Linked DNA regions of Oryctolagus cuniculus. The protein of the gene in region 4 purifies or fractionates together with the protein of the main gene of each other region. This does not show direct contact. Links are inferred from orthologs where the notes say so. Each region holds a gene or a part of one and is shown on either strand. Other genes may lie near its edges.

Evidence for each region.
Region 1: the proteins of MAPK7 (region 4) and PFDN5 purify together in Homo sapiens (affinity purification with mass spectrometry; 3 studies listed by BioGRID and IntAct, with this or other methods). This does not show direct contact. The link is inferred for Oryctolagus cuniculus from reciprocal best matches to the Homo sapiens genes MAPK7 and PFDN5.
Region 2: the proteins of MAPK7 (region 4) and PFDN1 purify together in Homo sapiens (affinity purification with mass spectrometry; 3 studies listed by BioGRID and IntAct, with this or other methods). This does not show direct contact. The link is inferred for Oryctolagus cuniculus from reciprocal best matches to the Homo sapiens genes MAPK7 and PFDN1.
Region 3: the proteins of MAPK7 (region 4) and PFDN2 purify together in Homo sapiens (affinity purification with mass spectrometry; 3 studies listed by BioGRID and IntAct, with this or other methods). This does not show direct contact. The link is inferred for Oryctolagus cuniculus from reciprocal best matches to the Homo sapiens genes MAPK7 and PFDN2.
Region 5: the proteins of MAPK7 (region 4) and PFDN4 purify together in Homo sapiens (affinity purification with mass spectrometry; 3 studies listed by BioGRID and IntAct, with this or other methods). This does not show direct contact. The link is inferred for Oryctolagus cuniculus from reciprocal best matches to the Homo sapiens genes MAPK7 and PFDN4.

The regions. Positions count from the first base shown.
Region 1 is NC_091442.1:56,307,259-56,311,313, forward strand, and holds the start of PFDN5 (prefoldin subunit 5), read left to right. Parts: upstream 1-1,254; 5' UTR 1,255-1,340; coding exon 1,341-1,412; intron 1,413-1,590; coding exon 1,591-1,693; intron 1,694-1,854; coding exon 1,855-1,886; intron 1,887-4,023; coding exon 4,024-4,055. UniProt on the Homo sapiens protein: Binds specifically to cytosolic chaperonin (c-CPN) and transfers target proteins to it. Binds to nascent polypeptide chain and promotes folding in an environment in which there are many competing pathways for nonnative proteins.
Region 2 is NC_091437.1:27,961,780-27,965,864, forward strand, and holds the start of PFDN1 (prefoldin subunit 1), read right to left. Parts: upstream 2,809-4,085; 5' UTR 2,661-2,808; coding exon 2,628-2,660; intron 1-2,627. UniProt on the Homo sapiens protein: Binds specifically to cytosolic chaperonin (c-CPN) and transfers target proteins to it. Binds to nascent polypeptide chain and promotes folding in an environment in which there are many competing pathways for nonnative proteins.
Region 3 is NC_091438.1:37,700,855-37,704,366, reverse strand, and holds part of PFDN2 (prefoldin subunit 2), read right to left. Parts: intron 1,330-3,512; coding exon 1,241-1,329; intron 1,137-1,240; coding exon 1,013-1,136; intron 1-1,012. UniProt on the Homo sapiens protein: Binds specifically to cytosolic chaperonin (c-CPN) and transfers target proteins to it. Binds to nascent polypeptide chain and promotes folding in an environment in which there are many competing pathways for nonnative proteins.
Region 4 is NC_091448.1:61,506,675-61,510,965, forward strand, and holds the start of MAPK7 (mitogen-activated protein kinase 7), read left to right. Parts: upstream 1-1,490; 5' UTR 1,491-3,016; coding exon 3,017-3,235; intron 3,236-3,304; exon of another isoform or gene 3,305-3,466; intron 3,467-3,764; coding exon 3,765-4,002; intron 4,003-4,291. UniProt on the Homo sapiens protein: Plays a role in various cellular processes such as proliferation, differentiation and cell survival. The upstream activator of MAPK7 is the MAPK kinase MAP2K5.
Region 5 is NC_091442.1:7,285,176-7,288,687, reverse strand, and holds part of PFDN4 (prefoldin subunit 4), read left to right. Parts: intron 1-2,113; coding exon 2,114-2,221; intron 2,222-3,512. UniProt on the Homo sapiens protein: Binds specifically to cytosolic chaperonin (c-CPN) and transfers target proteins to it. Binds to nascent polypeptide chain and promotes folding in an environment in which there are many competing pathways for nonnative proteins.

The DNA.
Region 1 (4,055 bases), on a different chromosome or scaffold from region 4:
ATGGCCTGGGAAAGCAGAAGATGGCCCAAGTCCTTGGGCCCCTGCACCCATTGGAAAACCTGGAAGAAGCTCCTGGCTTTGGATCCACACAGCTCCAGCTGTTGCAGCCATTTTGGGAGTGAACCAGATGGAAGACCTTTCTCTGTGTCTCTACCTCTCAAATAGGTCTTTAAAAAAAAAAAAAAGTTTTAATTTATTTGAAAGAGGAGAGCGAGAGATCTCATCTGCTGGTTTGCTCCCCAAGTGACCACAATGGCCAGGGCTGGCCAGGCCAAAACTAGGAGCTTAATCTGGGTCTCCCACACAGGGGCCCGAGGACTCAGGCTATCTTCCCATCTCCCACTGCTTTCCCAGGCACATTAGCAGGGAGCTGGATCAGAAGTGGAGCAGCCGGAACTCAAACTAGCACCCATTTGGGATGCTGTCATAGTAGGCGGCTGCCTAACCTGCTATGCCACATTTGCCCTAGCAGCTCAGGTGGGTGTATCCCACCTTGGAGTGCCTGGATTCAATTCCCATCAGGAATTCCGGGCATCCTAGGAAACAACACATAGACCTTGGCCTCCCAGAACACACACCCACATGTAAGCCAGAACCCCAGGAAATAACCCATGTAGGTTCTGGGCTCCAAGGAAACAAGATGTGTTCATAGCACAGCACCTGGTTTGAGTCCCAGCTACTCTACATTTCCAATGCAGCTTCCTGAAGGCAGCAGATGATAACTGAAGTACTTGGGCCCAGCACCCAATGCGGCCGACCAGGATGGCGTTCCAGGCTCCGTCTAGCTAGCGCAGGTAACACATGCTACGGAGTGACACCTTGTGCTATGCTTGTTGGCTGACTGTGGCTTTTTTTTTTTTTTTTTTCAATTTTTCACAGTTCACAAAACATTTATTGTGTGACGTTCAGACTGCGGCTTTTTAATCCTCTCCACTTCCAGACTCTCCCCTGCGTCTGCTCCAAGCAGCATTTTCATGATGCTCCTCTGCGACAAGGGACAAGGGGCCCGACCAGCTGCCCCCCACCACGCACACAGCTGTCGGTCACTAGATTTACACGCTGCCTTACAGGATTGTGGCTGTGTCCTGAGCACTTCAGGATTTTCAACTTCCTGGAGGACAGGCATCATGGCTTGCTACAACTTTATTGGACTAGGCTTAGACTATCCCGTGACTCTCAACACAAGGTGCACCTGAGCGGCTCCAGCGCCTCCCTCCCTTGCGGGTCATAGAGACGTCCGGCGCAGCGAGGCCGCCGGGCACGGCCATAGAGACGCGCAGGAGACGGCTAGAGCGTCGCTCACGCGGCCGGCTTCCTCTCGGCTACTCCTCCGTCCCAACATGGCGCAGTCGATCAACATCACGGAGCTGAACCTGCCGCAGCTAGAAATGCTCAAGAACCAGCTGGATCAGGTGGGGATGGAGCCCGAGCAACACCTTTCGCGCGCTCCACATCCCGTCGGCCACACGCAGCCTCTCGCCCCCCACCCCGTTCCTTTCCAGTTTGAGCCGTTTCCCTTCCCCGGCTCCCAGGGTCCGCCCCTCTCGGGCCCCGGGTCCTCAGCCGGCCCCGCTTTCCCGTCCCGTGTAGGAGGTGGAGTTCTTGTCCACGTCCATCGCCCAGCTCAAGGTGGTACAGACCAAGTACGTGGAAGCCAAGGACTGTCTGAACGTGCTGAACAAGAGCAACGAGGGTATGCGGCGTAGGAGCGGGCAACGCGGGGACCGCGGCGGCGAGAGGACCGGGCGCTGCGCGCTGAGCGCCGCTGCACGCGCCCTGTGCATGCTGCCGGGCTCTGAACTCCCTTTACGGCTGCCAGCCTGCCCACGCTGTTTGTCTTCATTGCTTTCACAGGGAAAGAACTGCTCGTCCCACTGACAAGTTCCGTATCCTTTCCACTGGGATTGCTACCGCGCCGCCTCCCGGGGGCGGGGCGGACACCGTAGAACTCCCCCTTGATTTTTTTTTTTAATTTGAAAGGCAGAGTTAGAGAGAGGCAGAGAGAGAGTGGCCTTCCATCCGTTGGTTAATTGCCCAATTGGCCGCAATGGCCAGTGCTGTGCCGATCCGAAGCCAGGAGCTTCTTCCGGGTCTCCCACACGGGTGCAGGGGCCCAAGGACTTTGGCCATCTTCCACTGCTTTCCCAGGCCACAGCAGAGAGCTGGATTGGAAGTGGAGCAGCCGGGACTCAAACCTGCGCCCACATGGGAAGCGGCACTGCAGGCAGCGGCTTTACTGGCTACCCCCTCCCCCCAGTGATTTTGAGAGGGCTCTTGTTGTACACACTTCGTAGCCTCAGGTCGACATCCAGCTCATGCCTTCTGAGTGCCAAGGGATATGGTATGTAGAGTTGTGGTCTCCCCCCCATGCTGTTAGAGGCCATGAATATGAAGAAAAAGCTGATCTTCTTTTGCTAGTATTAAACAGGGAGGTTGGCTCTGTTCATTAACCCTAAATTTCACTTTCCCCGTGGCCCATTCCTCAGCTGCTGGAAGGAGCCTGGGTTAGGCTCACCTGCTGGGGGTTGACCTGGAATGAGCAGGTTCTGGCAGTGGCGAACCTGCGGTGCGTAGCTGGCGTTTGGGAAAGGGCACAGGAACGGCGGTGTAGCAGTGAATGGGCATGAGCCACTTCGTGATGGGGGACGATGAGGGGACATGAAGCTGGCTCTTCACGGGGTCCACTCCAGGCAGGGGGAGACCATCACCAAATCCAGTCTTTGCCGAGGAGTCCTTGGGAGGAGTTACAACAATCGCTTGGAGGGCGGGAGATGGAGTCGGGGCTAGAGTTCCAGCACAAGCCAGCTTTCTCCAAAAGGAGCCAGCATCTTTGCGGCTGCCTTTTGGGGGCTTCAGGCATACTTCTTTTCTTTTCTTCTTTTCTTTTCTTTTCTTTTCTTTTCTTTTCTTTTTTCTTTCTTTCTTCTTTCTTTTCTTTCTTTCTTTCTTTCTTTCTTTTTTTTTTTTTTTTTGACAGAGTTAGAGAGACAAAGGTCTTCCTTTTTCCGATGGGTCATCCCCCAAATGGCCGCTATGGCCGGCACACTGCGCCGATCCGAAGCCAGGAGCTGGGTACTTCCTCCCGGTCTCCCATGCGGGTGCAGGGCCCAATCACTTGGGCCATCCTCCACTGCCTTCCCGGGCCACAGCAGAGAGCTGGCCTGGAAGAGGAGCAACCGGGACAGAATCCAGTGCCCCAACCGGGACTAGAACCTGGGGTGCCGGCGCTGCAGGCGGAGGATTAGCCTAGTGGGCTGTAGCACTGGCTTTCAGGCATATTTCTAAGGCCTCCAGATTACTCAGTCCTTACCCCTTGTGGTTTGTTTTAAAAAAAAGACGGTCAGGGCCAGCACTGTGGTGCAACAAATTAACCCACGGCCTGCAGCACCCGCCTTTGTTGGTTCAAGTCCTGGCTGCTCCACTTCTTTAGAAAAAAAAAAAAAAAGACATTTATTTATTTGAGAGGCAGAGTTACAGACAGAGGGAGTGAGAGACAGAGACTGGAAAGCCCTTCCATCCACTGGTTCACTCCACAATGGCTGCAACAGCCAGAGCAGCGCCAACCTGAAGCCAGGAGCTTCTTCCAGGTCTCCCACGTGGGTACAGGGGCCCAAGCACTTGGGCCATCCTCTACTGCTTTCCCAGACCACAGTAGAGAGCTGGATTGGAAGAGGAGCAGCTGAGACTTGAACCAGCACCCATATGGATGCTGGCTCTGCAGGTGGAGGCTTAGCCCCACTACACCACAGCGCCAGTCCTGGCCAACTTCTGATCCAGCTCCCTGCTGATGCGCCTGGGTAAGCAGCAGCAGATGGCCCAAGTGTTTGGGCCCCTGCAGACCCAGAAGAAGCTCCAGCCGGCTAGTTGCGGCCACTTGAGGAGTGAATAGATCTCTCTCTGTAACTCTGCCTTTCAAATAAATTAATTAAAAAAGAAAGAAAGAAGCCGTAGGAGGCCAAGCAGCTGGCCCACAGGGACTCGGGGCTCATGCTGGGCTGGTTCCCCTTAACCCTTGCCTCGCAGATGTACGTCCCTGGCAAGCTGCACGACGTGGA
Region 2 (4,085 bases), on a different chromosome or scaffold from region 4:
GTTGCATATCTAGCAAAGTTTCAGAAGATTTACTTTGGGGAAGAAGAGATGTCTATATTTCCTATTAAATACCACTCAAAAAAATAGCTTATGAAGACATTAGGAAATAAAACTGATACACGGAGCCAATGCTAGGGCACTGAAGGTTGAGCCTGCAGCAATGCCATCGAATTCTGGCTGTTCCACTTCTGATCCAGCTTCCTGCTAGCTAGGGTGCCTGAGAAGGCAGTGGAGGATGGCTCAAGTCGTTGGGCCCCTGCACCAACATGGGAGACCAGGAAGAAACTCCTGGCTTTGGCCTGGCCCAGCTCCACCATTGCAGACATCTAGGGAATCAATCAATGGATTCTCTCTCTGCTTCTGCCTCTCCCTCCCTTTCAAATAAATAAATCTTTAAAAAAGAAAAAAAAAAAAAACTGATATACGTTTCCTTGTTAATTGGTTGTCAAAATTATTCAACTTGTCTATAATTTTTTTTTTTTTTTGACAGGCAGAGTTAGAAAGTGAGAGAGACAGAGAGAAAGGCCTTCCTTCCGTGGGTTCACCCCCCAAATGGCCGCTGTGGCCGGTGTGCTGTGCCGATCCAAAGCCAGGAACCAGGTGCTTCCTCCTGGTCTCCCATGCGGGTGCAGGGCCTAAGCACTAGGGCCATCCTCCACTGCACTCCCGGGCCACAGCAGAGAGCTGGCCTGGAAGAGGGGCAACCGGGACAGAATCCGGCACCCCAACCGGGACTAGAACCCGTGGTGCCAGCGCCGCAGGCAGAGGATTAGCCTAGTGAGCCATGGCGCCGGCCTATAATTTTTTTCTTAGTTTGTATTAATTGTTTACTTGTTTCTTATCAATAAATTCAAAGAGTACTGGGAAGCAAGCCCTTTCACAGTTAATACTTTTGATAGTTCTTCATCAAAATCTTGGTTTCTGCAGCACCGGTTCTAGTCCCAGCTGCTCCTCTTTCAATCCAACTCTCTGCTATGTCCTGGGAAAGCAGCAGAAGATGGCCCAAGTCCTTGGGCCCCTGTACCCACGCAGGAGACCTGGAATAAGCTCCTAGCTCCTGGCTCCTGGCTTTGGATGGGTTCAGTTGCGGCCACTTACGGAGTGAACCAGTGGATGGAAGGCCTCTCTCTATCACTCCCTCTCACCTTCTGTAATTCTTCCTCTCAAAAAAAATATTTTTTAAAAAATCTTGGTTTAAGGCCAGCGCAGCGGCTCACTAGGCTAATCCTCCGCCTAGCGGCGCTGGCACACAAGGTTCTAGTCCCAGTTGGGGCGCCGGATTCTGTCCCGGTTGCCCCTCTTCCAGGCCAGCTCTCTGCTGTGGCCAGGGAGTGCAGTGGAGGATGGCCCAGGTGCTTGGGCCCTGCACCCCATGGGAGACCAGGAAAAGCATCTGGCTCCTGGCTCCTGCCACCGGATCAGCGCGGTGCGCCGGCCGCAGCGGCCATTGGAGGGTGAACCAACGGCAAAGGAAGACCTTTCTCTCTGTCTCTCTCTCACTGTCCACTCTGCCTGTCAAAAATAAATAAATAAATAAATAAAACTTGGTTTAAGTTTACACTTTTAATGGAAAAAAGGGTAAATTTTTCAGAAAACACAATTTTATTCTGAAATGTAAAATTTCAGGTATTTTCTGACTGTTCTATACAGTTTATGGAGGAAGATATAGCCAAGATATTAGAGAACAGCATGTAAAAGCAACTTACAAGTTTCAAGACAAGAGCAGCAGAAGAAACGAGACGCAAACACCTTTAAAACAGTAACAGCTTCATTTAATAAGAGCTATTTCAGCTGCCCTATTTCTAATGCAAAGACTGTTCAGATGTTTTCCATGAAGAACTTAAACTACTGGTCAAAAAAACCTGTAAGAGAACATGGTATTCTAATTCCACTCTTTGAGACTTCTCTAGAGTTGTTTCCCTTTCTAGAAAAGTAGATTTAAATCCTATGCAGTCCAGGGTCCTTTCCAATCCGCCCTCGCCCCCCAAAGCACACGTTTTGAGTCGGCAGTGGAGTTAGAATCCTGACTGCTCTCCGGTACCAAACATTTATAAGCAATTGTTTGAACAGAAGAAACGCAATTCCTTCTCAAAATGCTTTTATTTGGCAAACTCTGCTGCTCCTTTTTTTAGACAAGCCCTTCGCAAAAGGAGGGGAGGAGGAGAGGGGACAATGCCTTCCTGCGGCTTTTCAAGGTACAGGATGGGAATAAATGGCTTTAAAACAGGTGTTGGGTTTTTTCTCCCGAATTAAATGAGGCAGAATTACACACGCCTCAGCCCCAGGCAACCGCACCAAAGAGGTTTTAAGACGTTGTCTTCTGTTCTTACCATGAAACTGAGCCCCTGAAGGCTCCAAACGCAACGAAATAGCTCTGGGGCTCAGAACAAACGGGTAAGCTCGCACTCGGACCCGGCCCGGCTCAACTAGCTCCCACCCAGCAAGAGCCGCTAGCTGCCCACTCGGCTCAAGGAGGCCCCGCGGCGCCTCAGGCCTCCGGGAAAACATTCCCCAGTCCTCCAGCGCCTCTTTGCTCCCGCAAACATTCAAGCCTCACTCGATATTCCTGTCCACAGTCCCTTCGGCCTCCAAAGAGAAGCCTCTGCCTGCTCAAGACCCTCTTTTACCTTCTTCAACTCCAGATCCACGGGGGCCGCCATCTTGATGCACCCCTCTGCGCCTGCGCATTGGAAGAAGGCCGGAAAGGGGTGGGGGAAGGGCTGCGTTTTGATGGGTCGCCCTCCTAATGCGCCTGCGCCTGCGTGCCGCTAATCGGGTTTGTTTCCCTGTTGCGGAGCGGGTTACTCTAAATATTCAAGATTCCGATTCAATTTGTCTTCCCTTGCTGACCTATCAGGTCTGGCTTGTTCCTCCACATCTTCCAGACACAGCCCAACGTGTAGATTTCGCTTGTGGCTTTGAACAGTTTGATAGTTTTTCTACTCAATTGAGAAGTGCGTGGATCAGGTCAAACCCTCATCAGTTATTCAGTCCTACAGCTCGTCCTGTGCTGTCAGAGATGAGTAAGAAGGGACCCCAGACCTCAGGCCTAACCATATGGAGAAGACTATTAGAAGGCTTGGGTTTTCCACCAAAGAACTCATTTCTACTGAATGCTCCCAAAGACTTTCTAGATTAGAGATTCTCGAGGGAGGTGATATGTTTGATTTTTGGAAAAATTTTTGGAAAAATGTTTAGTACAGTGGCTAAGACATCAGCATCTCATACTGGAGTGTATGGGTTTGAATCCTGATTAGGCTTCCAATTCTGGTTTCCTGCTAATGAACACCCTGAAAGGCCTTAGTAATGGATCGAGTAATAGGGTTCCTGCCACCCATATGGCAGACCTGAATTGGCCAGCTTTGTTCTGGCCAATCCTGGCACTTGAGGACTTTTGTAGAATGAATCAGTGGAAGGAATCAAGATTTCTCTCTCTCCCTCTCTCTCTCTCTCTCTCTCTCTCTCTCTTTCAAATAATAGTAATAAATGTTAAATAATATAGATTCTTAGGTCTCATTCCAAGCTTATTCAGAATCTTTGAGGGCTTAAAAATTTGCAATTATCCTAACTCCCCATGACCTGGTGGCGCAAAAGTTGTCTACAGAACACATTTGGAGAACCTCTGCTATAAAAGGACCTAGCATTTGAAACAGGCAATTGGGTTTGAGTCCCGGCTGCTCCACTTGTGATCCACCTTTCTGCTGTGGCCTGGGAAAGCAGTAGAAGATGGCTTAACTCCTTGGGCCCCTGCACCCGTGTGGAGACCCAGGGGAGGCTCCCGGCTCCTGGCTTCAGATTTGCTCAGCTCTGGCCGTTGCGGTCATTTCCGGAGTGAACCAGCACATGGAAGACCTCTCTGGCTCTACCTCTCTCTGTAACTCTGTCTTTCAAATTAAAAAATAATAATTCTTTAAAAAAAAAAAAAAGAAAGAAAGAAAGGGACCAGCGCCGCGGCTCACTAGGCTAATCCTCCGCCTAGTGGCGCCGGCACAATGGGTTCTAGTCCCGGTCGGGGCGCCGGATTCTGTCCCAGTTGCCTCTCTTCCAGGCCAGCTCTCTGCTGTGGCCAGGGAGTGCAGTGGAGG
Region 3 (3,512 bases), on a different chromosome or scaffold from region 4:
CTTAGAAACTTTAATGTATAGACGACTCACCTGAGGGCATTCCCAAAGTTCTGATTCAGAGGGTCCAGGACAAGATCCAAGAAACTATTTTAAACTAATCCTTCAGGGGAGCTGGCATCCGGCCCAGTGTCTGACACTGGCGCACCTAGGGTCGATTCAGCTCCTGACCCCACCTTCCTATGAATGCAGACCTGGGAGGCAGCAGTGATGGTTTAAGCAGCTGGGTTCCTGCCACCCAAGTGGGAAACCTGGATTGAATTCCTGGCCCTTGGCTTCAGTTCAACACCTCAGCTGTTGTGGGCATTTGGGGAATGGACCAGTGGAAGGGAGTTCTGTCTCATGAACAAATACTAACTGATGAATAAATTAGTCCTTTACGTGATTTTGATTCAGGTATCCAGGGACTACGTGAGAACTGCTCTAACCTCTTTCACCCAACTCAGCCAAGTAATAAACAGCCCATGAAAGGGACACAAAGCCAGCAACTCCTCTAAGAGTTTACCTAGCATAGCATAAAGAACATAGGCTTAAAAGCTATTTATGCTGTATTTTTTTAAAGATTTATTTATTTATTTGAAAGGCAGAGTGACAGGGAGTGAGCAAGCCAGAGGGAAAGAGATTGAGATTTTCCAGACATTGGTTCACTCCCCAAATGGCCACAATGATCGGGGCTAATCCGGGCCAAAGCCAGGAGCCTAGAACTTTACTCAGGTCTCCCACATGGGTAGCAGGAGTCCAAGTACCTGGGCCACCTTGTGCTGCTTTCCCAGGTGCATTAGCAGAGAGCTGGATGGGAAACAGCTTCAGGGACTCAAACCAGTGCTCTAGTAGGGGATGCCAGCATTACAGGTAGCAGTTTAGCTCACTGCGCCAAAGCTCTGGCCTAAATTTATGCTGTTTTCAACAGAAATTTTATACAGTCTTTCCTCTACTATATTTCCTAACTCCCTGGCCTTCCCATCTTCCTTACCCCTTTACTGCCCAAACCTTCTCCTCCCAGATTCTTGTTTACCTGCTCCTTATTGTTTTCCAAGGCAGGCAGCACCTCTTTGACAGTCCGCTCCACCAGCACTCCTCCAACCATGCGGTAGCACTTGCGAGTTTCATCTACTTCCTTCAGTGTATCGATCACTAGGCTGGGGTAGGAGGACAAGAGGAGACCAAAACTCTCAGTCCCACCCTACTGCAGCCCTCCCTTCACAAAAGGGCCCAACCAACCGCTTCTCCCTGCCTTTCTCACCTGTGCTCATTCAACTCCATCTCCAGCTCAGCTGCTTTGGATGCCAGGCCCCTCTGTTCCTGCCGAAGGCGGTTAAAGCCGGCAATTACCTAAGGTGAGAGAGAGAGAGAGGAGATAGAAGAGAGTATAGTGGAAATGCTGGAGGATCAGGACAGGACATAGGATGGCAAATTTTACAATGGTGGTAGTGGACACATACTTTGGATAAAGAGTAGAACTCAAGCTTGCGGGCCCGGCGCTGTGGTGCAGCGGGTTAACGCCCTTGCCTGAAGCGCTAGCATCCTATATGGGCGCCGGTTCTAGTCCCGGCTGCTCCACTTCCAATCCAGCTCTCTGCTATGGCCTGGGAAAGCAGTAGAAGATTGCCCAAGTCCTTGGGCCCCTGCACCCGCGTGGGAGACCTGGAAGAAGCTCCTGGCTCCTGGCTTTGGATCGGTGCAGCTCTGTCTCTACCTCTCTCTGTAACTCTTTCAAATAAATAAATAAATAGAACTCAAGCTTGCAATTTCTAACTTAAGTCCATCTGGAATTCCATTCACCAAACACTGATTGAGTGCCTACTGTGGAGATATTTGCTAGGCACTGGGGCATTTAACAGAGTAGATTTGGCCTCTGACTTCTTGTGGCTTATAGTTTTAAAGGAGTAGCATAGGGACAGGAGCAGCGAACTACTGGAGTACCTCCAGGGGAGCCTAGACTTGCACAGGTAACAGGACTCGCAGGCAGGGCACTGCAGTTAGTAACTACTGTTTGAGCCTGCCTAGTGTCCTTACCCCATTCATTGGGGAACTGCCCCTTATTAACTCCATGGGGCAACTAATCACAGGACCCTTGTTCTTAGGGCATGACTTATTTTATGCTAGATCTCTACAAGAATTCAAATGTTGGGTAAGGACAAATAGGTACAGAAGGCAGTTGGAGCTAAGATATGTGTTGGTTCTTTTCTTTTTTTAAAGATTTATTTATTTATTTGAAAGTCAGAGTTACACAGAGAGAGGAGGAGAGGCAGAGAGAGAGAGAGAAATCTTCCATTTGCTGGTTCACTCAACAAATGGCCGCAAAGGCTGGAGCTGGGCCGATCCAAAGCCAAGAGCTAGGAGCTTCCTCTGGGTCTCCCAAGCGGGTGCAGGGACCCAAGGAGTTGGGCCATCTTCTTCTGCTTTCCCAGGCCACAGCAGAGGGCTGGATTGGAAGTGGAGCAGCTGGGACTCAAACCAGTGCCCATGTGGGATGCCAGCACTGCAGGCAGCAGCTTTACCCACTACACCACAGTGTCAGCTCCAGTACTGGTTCTTTACAGATGTCTTTCCATTCCTATTCCTAGGCTCCTAAAGCTACCCCAGTTCTTGAACTTCATTCAATCTAGTTATTTAGTCTTTGTTTTCATTATGTCCAATTCTGTGAACTACCTGCTTCAAAACAAATTGTATTACAAGTCTGTTTCTGAAGCCTATACCACTAACACATGTCTTCACTTATGCCTGAAGGACAAAGAACTGGTGGCAGGGACTGGTGCTGTGGTGCAGCAGGTTCAAGACCTGGCTGCTCCACTCTGATCCAGCTCCCTACTAAGGTGCCTCAGAAAGCAGTGGAAGATGGCCCAAGTACATGGGTCTCTGCACCCACGTGGAGACCTGGAAAAAGCTCCTGGCTGCTGGCTTTGGACTGGCCCAGCCCTGGCCATTGTAGCTGTTTGGGGGGTGAACCAGCTGATGGAAGATCTCTCTCTCTCCCTGTCTCTGTAACTCTGCCTTTCAAATAAATAAGTTTTTTTAAAGTTTTATTTATTTATTTATTTATTTATTTATTTTGACAGGCAGAGTGGACAGTGAGAGAGAGAGACAGAGAGAAAGGTCTTCCTTTTTGCCGTTGGTTCACCCTCCAATGGCCACCACGGCCGGCGCGCTGCGGCCAGCGTACCACGCTGATCCGATAGCAGGAGCCAGGTGCTTATCCTGGTCTCCCATGGGGTGCAGGGCCCAAGCACTTGGGCCATCCTCCACTGCCTTCCCGGGCCACAGCAGAGAGCTGGCCTGGAAGAGGGGCAACTGGGAAAGAATCTGGCGCCCCGACCGGGACTAGAACCTGGTGTGCCGGCGCCGCAAGGCAGAGGATTAGCCTATTGAGCCACGGCGCCAGCCTCAAATAAATAAATCTTAAAACAAACTGGTGGCAGAAGGAAGAGAGAAGGGCTAAACAGGCACAAGAAATAACATGTAAAGTCCCGGAGAAGTCATTACTACCTGTACATGCTCCTACTTCCCCAGAAGCT
Region 4 (4,291 bases):
CTAGGCTGGGCCTGTCCAATGGGACATGACCTGGAAACGAGGCTAGATGCCCCACGGGCCGGCATGGAGTTCTGCGACACCAACACCCCATATTGGAGACTGGAGCACTGGCTAGAGCCCCGGCTGCTCCAGTTCTGATGCAGCTCCTGGCTAACACACCGGGAGGCAGCAGATGGCCCAGATACCTGGGCCCCTGCCATCCGCGTTGAGACCTGGATGGAGTACCTGGCTCCTGGCTTCAGCCTGGCCCAGCCCTGGCTGTTGTGGCCATTTGGGGATGAGCCAGCAGATGGAAGAGCTCTCTCTCTCTTTCTCCCTCCCTCCCTGCCTGTAACTCTACCTCTCAAATAAATAAATAACATCTTTAAAAAATAAAATGTCCTCTCTTTAGGCTGACACTGGGGCACAGTGGGTAAAGTAGGAACCAACCAGTGGATGGAAGACCTTTCTCTCCATCTCTCTGTAACTCTACCTCTCAGATCCTTAAAAAATTAAAAAGGGAAAAACTTTTTAAAAATAAATCCCATGTGGCCTTGGTATAGATGAAACCTACCTGGGGTGCAGTCATGTCTTGGGCCTGCAGTCACCCTGCACTGACCCCGACTCACCCAGAACAACTTCCGGTCCCGCAAGCCCCATTCGTGGTGAGTGCCCTCCACAGAAGCACTATTTATTCTCGTCTATATTTCACGGTGCTTCCCCACGCTTAGATAGGTTGTGCTACGCAAACACCACCGTTACAAATGCCCACAGGTGTGTGCAGGGCGCAGCAGGTAAGTTCTCACAATGCCAACACCGCCTCCCAGTGTGATTCGCAGAACGCAGCCCTGTCCTGATGGGACCTGGGACTGTCTGAGTCACTTTCCTCTAGTGGCCACCAGGAGGCGGGACCAAGATTTTTCACTTAAACGTTTCTTTACCAAAGTCTCGAACCACAAGAAAATGTGATTCCACCCTTTCCGTTTTTAAACAAGTGGTCAGTTGTGTCAGATGCAACAGAGAGTTCGAGAGGGCAAGGGTCAAAAGGCTGGATTTGACCAGAAAGGGATAACTGATGACTTCTCCAAGACAGAGCCGCTGCTGTGGGAGCAGCAGCACAGTAATTCAGACAAAAAGTAAGAGAATCAGTCTTTTTAACCAGGGGATAGTGAATTGTCTGCAGCGAATAACCTGACTGGATGGAATATTTTTGAAGTATTTAAAGGATACACAGTGCATTAGTCTCTTCTGATATTTTATTCCTGATTCAAATAGGACCACCAGACAGAGTACAGTGGGTCCCTAGAAAATCATGTGTTTCATGTTCCGGCCTCTGTGTGACCTCTGCTTACACTGAGAGCTGACACAGGGCCTCACGCTGCATGGATTTCATCTCTAGAAAGGCCCCTGGGGCCGGCGCTGTGGTTAAGCCGTGGCCTGCAGTGCTGGCATCCCGTATGGACACTGGTTCAAGTCCCAGCTGCTCCACTTCCGATCCAGCTCCCTGCTGAAGCGTCTGGAAAGCAGAAGATGGCACAAGTGCTTGAGCCCCTGCACCTGCGTGCGAGACCTGGAAGAAGCTCCTGGCTCGGCCTGGTCCAGCTCCGGCCATTGCGGCCACAGGGGGAGTGAGCCAGCAGACAGATCTGTCTCTCCCTCTTTCTCTGGTTCTGCCTTTCGAATAAAACAAATAAATCTGTGTAAAAAAAAAAAAATTCCCCTCAAACACTTCCATATCTCAGTAACAGGAAACCCCGTTTCTCAAGAGTACGGTTGGTTGCCTTATTAATGCTCAGTGCAAATCACGTGAGATAATTTGGCTTTGTTATGCTGCCAGGGAAACCAAACAAATTTAGACTTCAACCCCAACTCAGTTGGTTCATACGATCGCTACCTATCTAACTACTAGATATACATATAAAGGTACCGCACGCACTGTGGAAAGCAGAATCAAAAACTTTTTTTAAAAAGAGATTTACTTAGGTGCCTGAAAGGCGTAACTAGAGAGCGGCGAACCGGAGAGAGATCTCACACGTAACGGCTCCCTTCCCAATGGTGGCCACAGCCAGGGCTGTGCCAGGCCGAGCCGGGAACCGGCAACTCCACCCCCGTGTCCGCCGCGGAGGGCAGGGGCCACCTCCCAGGGACCACGCAGCACGGGGGCAGGAAGCCGGATCGGAAGTGGGGCGGCTCGAGCAGGCGCCCCAGCGCGGGCTGCCGGCCGAGGCTGCATTCGTTAAGCCACAACGCTGGCCCTCCCCCCTCAAAAAAGTGTGAAATCCATGCAAAATAAACGACCTTTGAACTCTGCCGAAACGGTCAACCTGGCACTCCGGGACTCCTGACGACCGGGTTCCCTCCCGCTCTCCCCGTCTTCCCATCCGCCGGGCCTGGTGCAGGGCAAACTCGCCCGAATGTCCCAGCTCCACACCGTGGCTCCGCCTGCAGGGCCTTCATTCCTCCACGGAAACAGTCACCGCCGGAGTCTCCACCACAAAGCCGCTTCTTCCTCGCCGCTCTTACCTCCAGCCCTCGCCGCCCTGGCGTCGCAGGGCGGGGCTCGACACTCGACTACGCGAGGAATGGCGTTCCAGTCAGAGTGCTGCCGACTCGCGGACTCCACAGAAGGGCCCGCTGCCTCCTTCCACTCTGTCGCAGCCCGAAACGCCGGAGCCGCGGGACAGAGCCACTGCGGAGGGCAGACGCCGGACCAGCAAACTACCAGCGAGCGCCGGAAGTGTGCGAGAAGACCGGCCGCCGGAAGTCAGCGGCAGCTCCGAGGCCGGACGCTCTAGAATCCCGGAGGACCCAGGTCTCTATGGTTGGACGTGCCTGCTCGCCCTTTCCCGCGAACGATGCTTTCCCAGAGCTCCCAGAACCGAGAAAATGGGGACCCGTTAAGGAAGAGGGGCCCAAGGAGGGGTATTGCGGGAGCCAGTCTCCAAGGTAACAACCCCAGGCCTCTCAGCTCGCCCCGAGTGCCCGGCTGTTCCCCACAATCGCGGGACGAGCCGTGATTGACCGCAGGAGCCGATGGATGGGGACGCGCGCGGGCCGACGTGCAGGGGCGTTGCCTCCTATTCTCGCGGCGCCCGGGGCTGCCGGTGCGCATGCGTGCAGGGGACTGCGCCCGGCGGCCGGCGCACCCCTCCGGAGCGCCGAGCGCCCTCAGGGCGGCGGCTCCCGCCGGCGAGCCGGACCCCGGCGGGCGGAGGTACGGTTTCCTAGGCCGATGCGCCCTGATTGGGCTCAGCAGGTAAAAGGGGTGGGAACCTCCGCAGGGGCCGCTCGCCGATTGGCCGGCGGCGGGAGGGAGCGTGGTCTCGGGAGGCGGGGCGGTGGGGTCCGGGCTGGGCAGCGCGCGGCGCTGAGGAGGTGGCCGCGGGCCTCGGACGGGCGGGAGTGCGGTTCCCGGAGCCCCCTCCTCTAGCCGGGGCCGAGGACGCCGGCGAGCGCTGGGACTTCCAGGATCCCTGAGGAGGCGCCGGTCAGTGAGTGTGGCCCCGAGGAACCCGAGGGCCCCGCCCGCCCTTTCTTCCTGGACTGCGCCGCGCCGCTCCCTCCCCCACCCGCGACCCCGACCCCCACCCGGACCCAGGCCCGGGGCGGCGGCTCCCAGCGTCGGGTGTCTCCAGCGGGCCAGCCGCTCCCATTCGCCAAGTGGCTGGTTTTGGAAACTTGGAAATTTCCCTGGTGCCCCCTCCCCAACCCACAGAAGGGGAAACTGAGACCCCCGGGATGGGGGCTGGGGGTGGGCCCTCTTCATCACCGGCGTCTCCACACAGAGGACCATGGCCGAGCCCCTTAAAGAGGAAGATGGCGAGGATGGCTCTGGGGAGCCCCCCGGGTCGGTGAAGGCTGAACCCGTCCACACCGCCGCCTCGGTCGCCGCCAAGAACCTGGCCCTGCTCAAGGCCCGTTCCTTCGACGTGACCTTCGACGTGGGCGACGAGTACGAGATCATCGAGACGATCGGCAACGGGGCCTACGGGGTGGTGTCATCCGCCCGCCGCCGCCTCACCGGTGCGTCTCCTGGGTCACTGTCCTTGTCAGATTCGGAGTGAGAAACCCTGCCTTAGCCAGCCGGGCTGTGAGGTGTGGTTCCGATCCAGAGATCTCTAGGTGCCCAGGCTCCCAGTGAGGCAGGACTCCTTGCAACTCTGGCCTAGCCGTTTTTTGTTTGGTTTTGTTTTGCCATCCCACCAGGCTGCTGGGCTCTGGGGCCAGAGCCTGGCACCAGGGAGTGGTGGCGGGATGGGCTAGGTCTGGGAGGCTCTCTTGCTAACTGGCTGTGCAGCTTCTCACAGATGAC
Region 5 (3,512 bases), on a different chromosome or scaffold from region 4:
GAGAGCTGGATTCTCTACTGCTTTTCAGAAGCTGCAGACTTGAATCTGATCAAGCAGGATTTAGATTCAGAAGGAGATCAGGTCAGGCAGATCCTGACCACGTGCAGTTGTGTGGTGGAAAGGGAGGCCTGATGAGGGGCAGGGCCAGGTTCTAGGTGTCTGCCTTGAAATTCTGACCTCTGAGCTCTGTTGCTTGAGACTGCAGGTTGCCTTTCAACCTCTGGAGAAATAAAGGCGTGTATCTTGTGTCACTGGTCGAGAGAGACCAGATGAAGGTCAGGACAGGATATTTTGAACCCTTTACTGTTACTGGCAAAAGAGCCAGCAGTCTTTATTGAGGCTACTTTTATGTTACACACATAAACATTTGTATGTAATTAATGCATATAACCTGTCATATTGATATATACAATAAATTAACTCAGGATTATTTTTATATACACAGTTTTCTTTATACTACAATCAGGTTCTCTTGCTTCTATTTTATAAATGATGGGAACCCTAGGGAGACTCTGCTTACTTGTTTATTTAATACGTAGATCCCCTCTGAGAATCTGATGAAAGCAGAGGACTTCCACTGCCCCTCCTAAGTACGTGTAAGTCCCTGCGCGTGCACACACACATGTGCATGCTCCCACGTTCTGTTTCCAAGAGCCCTTTGGGCCTGTCTGCGGCCTCTAAGCCAGGCTGCCTGGGTTGAAGTCAGGCGCTCCCACTTGCTGACTGTGTGGCTTTCCGTGGGCTGTGCCCCAGCTTCTCCAGCTGTAAAGCAGTAGTGCTGAGTGAGAATCCCTCCTGCTGAGACTGGAGGGTTAGCAGAGTAGGTGATGCACATAGAAAGGTCTGGATCCACAGGGAGCGTTCAGTCAATGTTAGCTATTATTTTTATTTTTTCATAGTTAATTATGTCACCCAAGTATTTTTTAATGTGATTGTGACATTAATGTTGCTAAATAATCCGCTGCTCCAATTGACATATCATCTAACTTTTAAACTTATTTTCATCTTTTGCCAGTATGACTTTTTTTTTAACAGGCAGAGTTAGACAGTGAGAGAAAGGTCTTCCTTCCGTAGGTTCACCCCCCAGATGGTTGCCACGGCTGGCGCACTGCGCCGATCTGAAGCCAGGAGCAAGGTGCTTCTTCCCAGTCTCCCATGCAGGTGCAGGGCCCAAGCACTTGGGCCATCCTCCACTGCCTTCCCGGGCCACAGCAGAGAGCTGGCCTGGAAGAGGGGCAACCAGGACAGAACCGGCACCTAGTGAGCCACGGTGCCAGCCTATGACTTCATTTTTAAAATTTTTTTTTAAAGATTTATTAATTTATTTGAAAGTCAGAGTTACCCAGAGAGAGGAGAGGTGGAGAGAGAGAGAGCGCGTGCAGCCTGAGAGAGAGAGAGAGAGAGAGAGAGAACGCGCAGCCTGGTTTCAAACCGGCGCCCATATGGGATGCCAGCACTGCAGGCCGCGGCTTTACCTGCTGCACCACAGCGCCAGCCCCCTAAGTATTATAAATACTCAAACATAGTCTTATTCAATGATTATTGTATATATTAAATTTTTAGTATTAAGCATTCAGTTTTCACATTTATAGTGAATTTTACCACATTAATGAACACATGTAAGCAGATGCTACATTAAAATGAATGTATTTTTGCTGCATGTGGAGTATAACCACTGAAATGCAGTTCTTTGGCCAATATAGCAGTTGGATTAAAGACTCAGATTTCTGATCACCACAGTAAGTTCACGGAAGTCCTGACTAAGAAAAAACAAAAGCTATGAGGCATTTCCCAACATTATTTGATCCTGTAACTTTTTTATTTGCCGAAAAAATGTTTCAGCTTGAGGCACACTCTTGGCTAAAGGTTGGCTTTTCTTTGCGTAGGAGGGTTAGTAAAATGTTTCTGTAGCATAGGCACGTGTGATAGAATATTGGGAAAGATTACAGATTGATGAACAGATCTTAAGGTCATTGAAAAAATCAAATAAGGCATTTCTATATGATGTGACTCTTCACTGTATGAGAGCAATAGTTTATTGAATTATTGAGCGCCAGATAAAAACCTCTAACTTCTCTATTAAAATGTTACAAAAAATTAAAATGTTTTTCAGGCTGCAGAAGATGTCAATGTTACTTTTGAAGATCAACAAAAGATAAACAAATTCGCAAGGAATACGAGTAGAATCACAGAGCTAAAGGAAGAAATAGAAGTAAAAAAGGTATTAAAAATGTTTATCTCTGCTTCTCCTCTCTTTACTCTTCCCTCGCTAATCACTGCCAAGACCTCTACATTCCACCACCTCTTTTAAGCCCCCGCCTTCCTTTCTTCTTCTGACAGCTGACTCCGTGCACCATACACCTGTGTCCTGCCTCCATCTCTTTGTGGCAAAATGCACCTAACAACTGTCAGATTACTGTAGAGTGTTGCTCAGTCATGCATACGCCTTGGCATTCAAAACCCCAAGCCTCCCCCTGGACTCCAGCCATCAAAGCCCTACTGCCTCAAGTGGTGTTTCCTCCTTCCTCCCTTAACTAGCCGTGCTTTTGACCTGGGCTCCCAGGGCTTGGACAGGAGGGTGTTGGTGGAGGTGGAAGGAAACGGGCAGACTTGAGAAGTATTTGAAAATTAGGCAGTAGCATAGCAGCTAGTGAGACTCCTTACAGAGCAAATTATCTACTACCCACTTCCTGTCAAAAGTTTGCATATGACATAGCAAGTAAGTTTCAGTAGAAAGACGTTTTTGAAGGGATGTGAAATAATTTTAGAGTTTTGAGGGGTTTGACTCTAGGCTGAGCTTCCAAGAGCAAGTCCTGAAACTGTCTCGGAGGAGGATCAGCCTTGATGCTGGCTCCACTGACCTCAGAGCCTCCTTAGTGACGAAGCTGTCCCTCTCTTACTCTGCCCTCAGTCCATGCACTTTTTTTTTTTTTTTTAGGATTTATTTATTTCTTTAAAAGGTAGAGTTACAGAGAGGCAGAGGCAGAGATAGAGATAAGTCTTCCATCCACTGGTTCACTCCCCAAATGGCCACAATGGCCAGAGCTGGGCCGATCTGAAGCCGGGAGCCAGGAGCCTCTTCTGTGTCTCCCACGTGGGTGTAGGGGCCCAAGGACTTGGGCCATCTTCACTGCTTTCCCAGGCCATAGCAGAGCTGGATTGGAAGTGGAGCAGCCAGGACTTGAACCGACGCCCATATGGGATGCCGGCACTGGAGGCAGCAGCTTTACCCATTATGCCACAGCGCCAGCCCCAATCCATGCAGTTTTGATTAGTGGAATTTAAGTTATTACTTGTTTACACTCTGTTGACTAGGAAGGCTGGGGAAGGTTTTTGCTTTCTATGGTTTTATTTCATAGGAAGGCAGAGTTCCCCAGGAAGGAGATTCCTACAGTAGGAGACGTTTCAGTGACCGTGGGCACCTGCTGCCACTCCAGGATGCAAGCAACAGTCAGGAATAAGAGGACAGTGTGCAGCCTCCTAAGTGCTTGCTGTGAAATGTCATCTAAAAG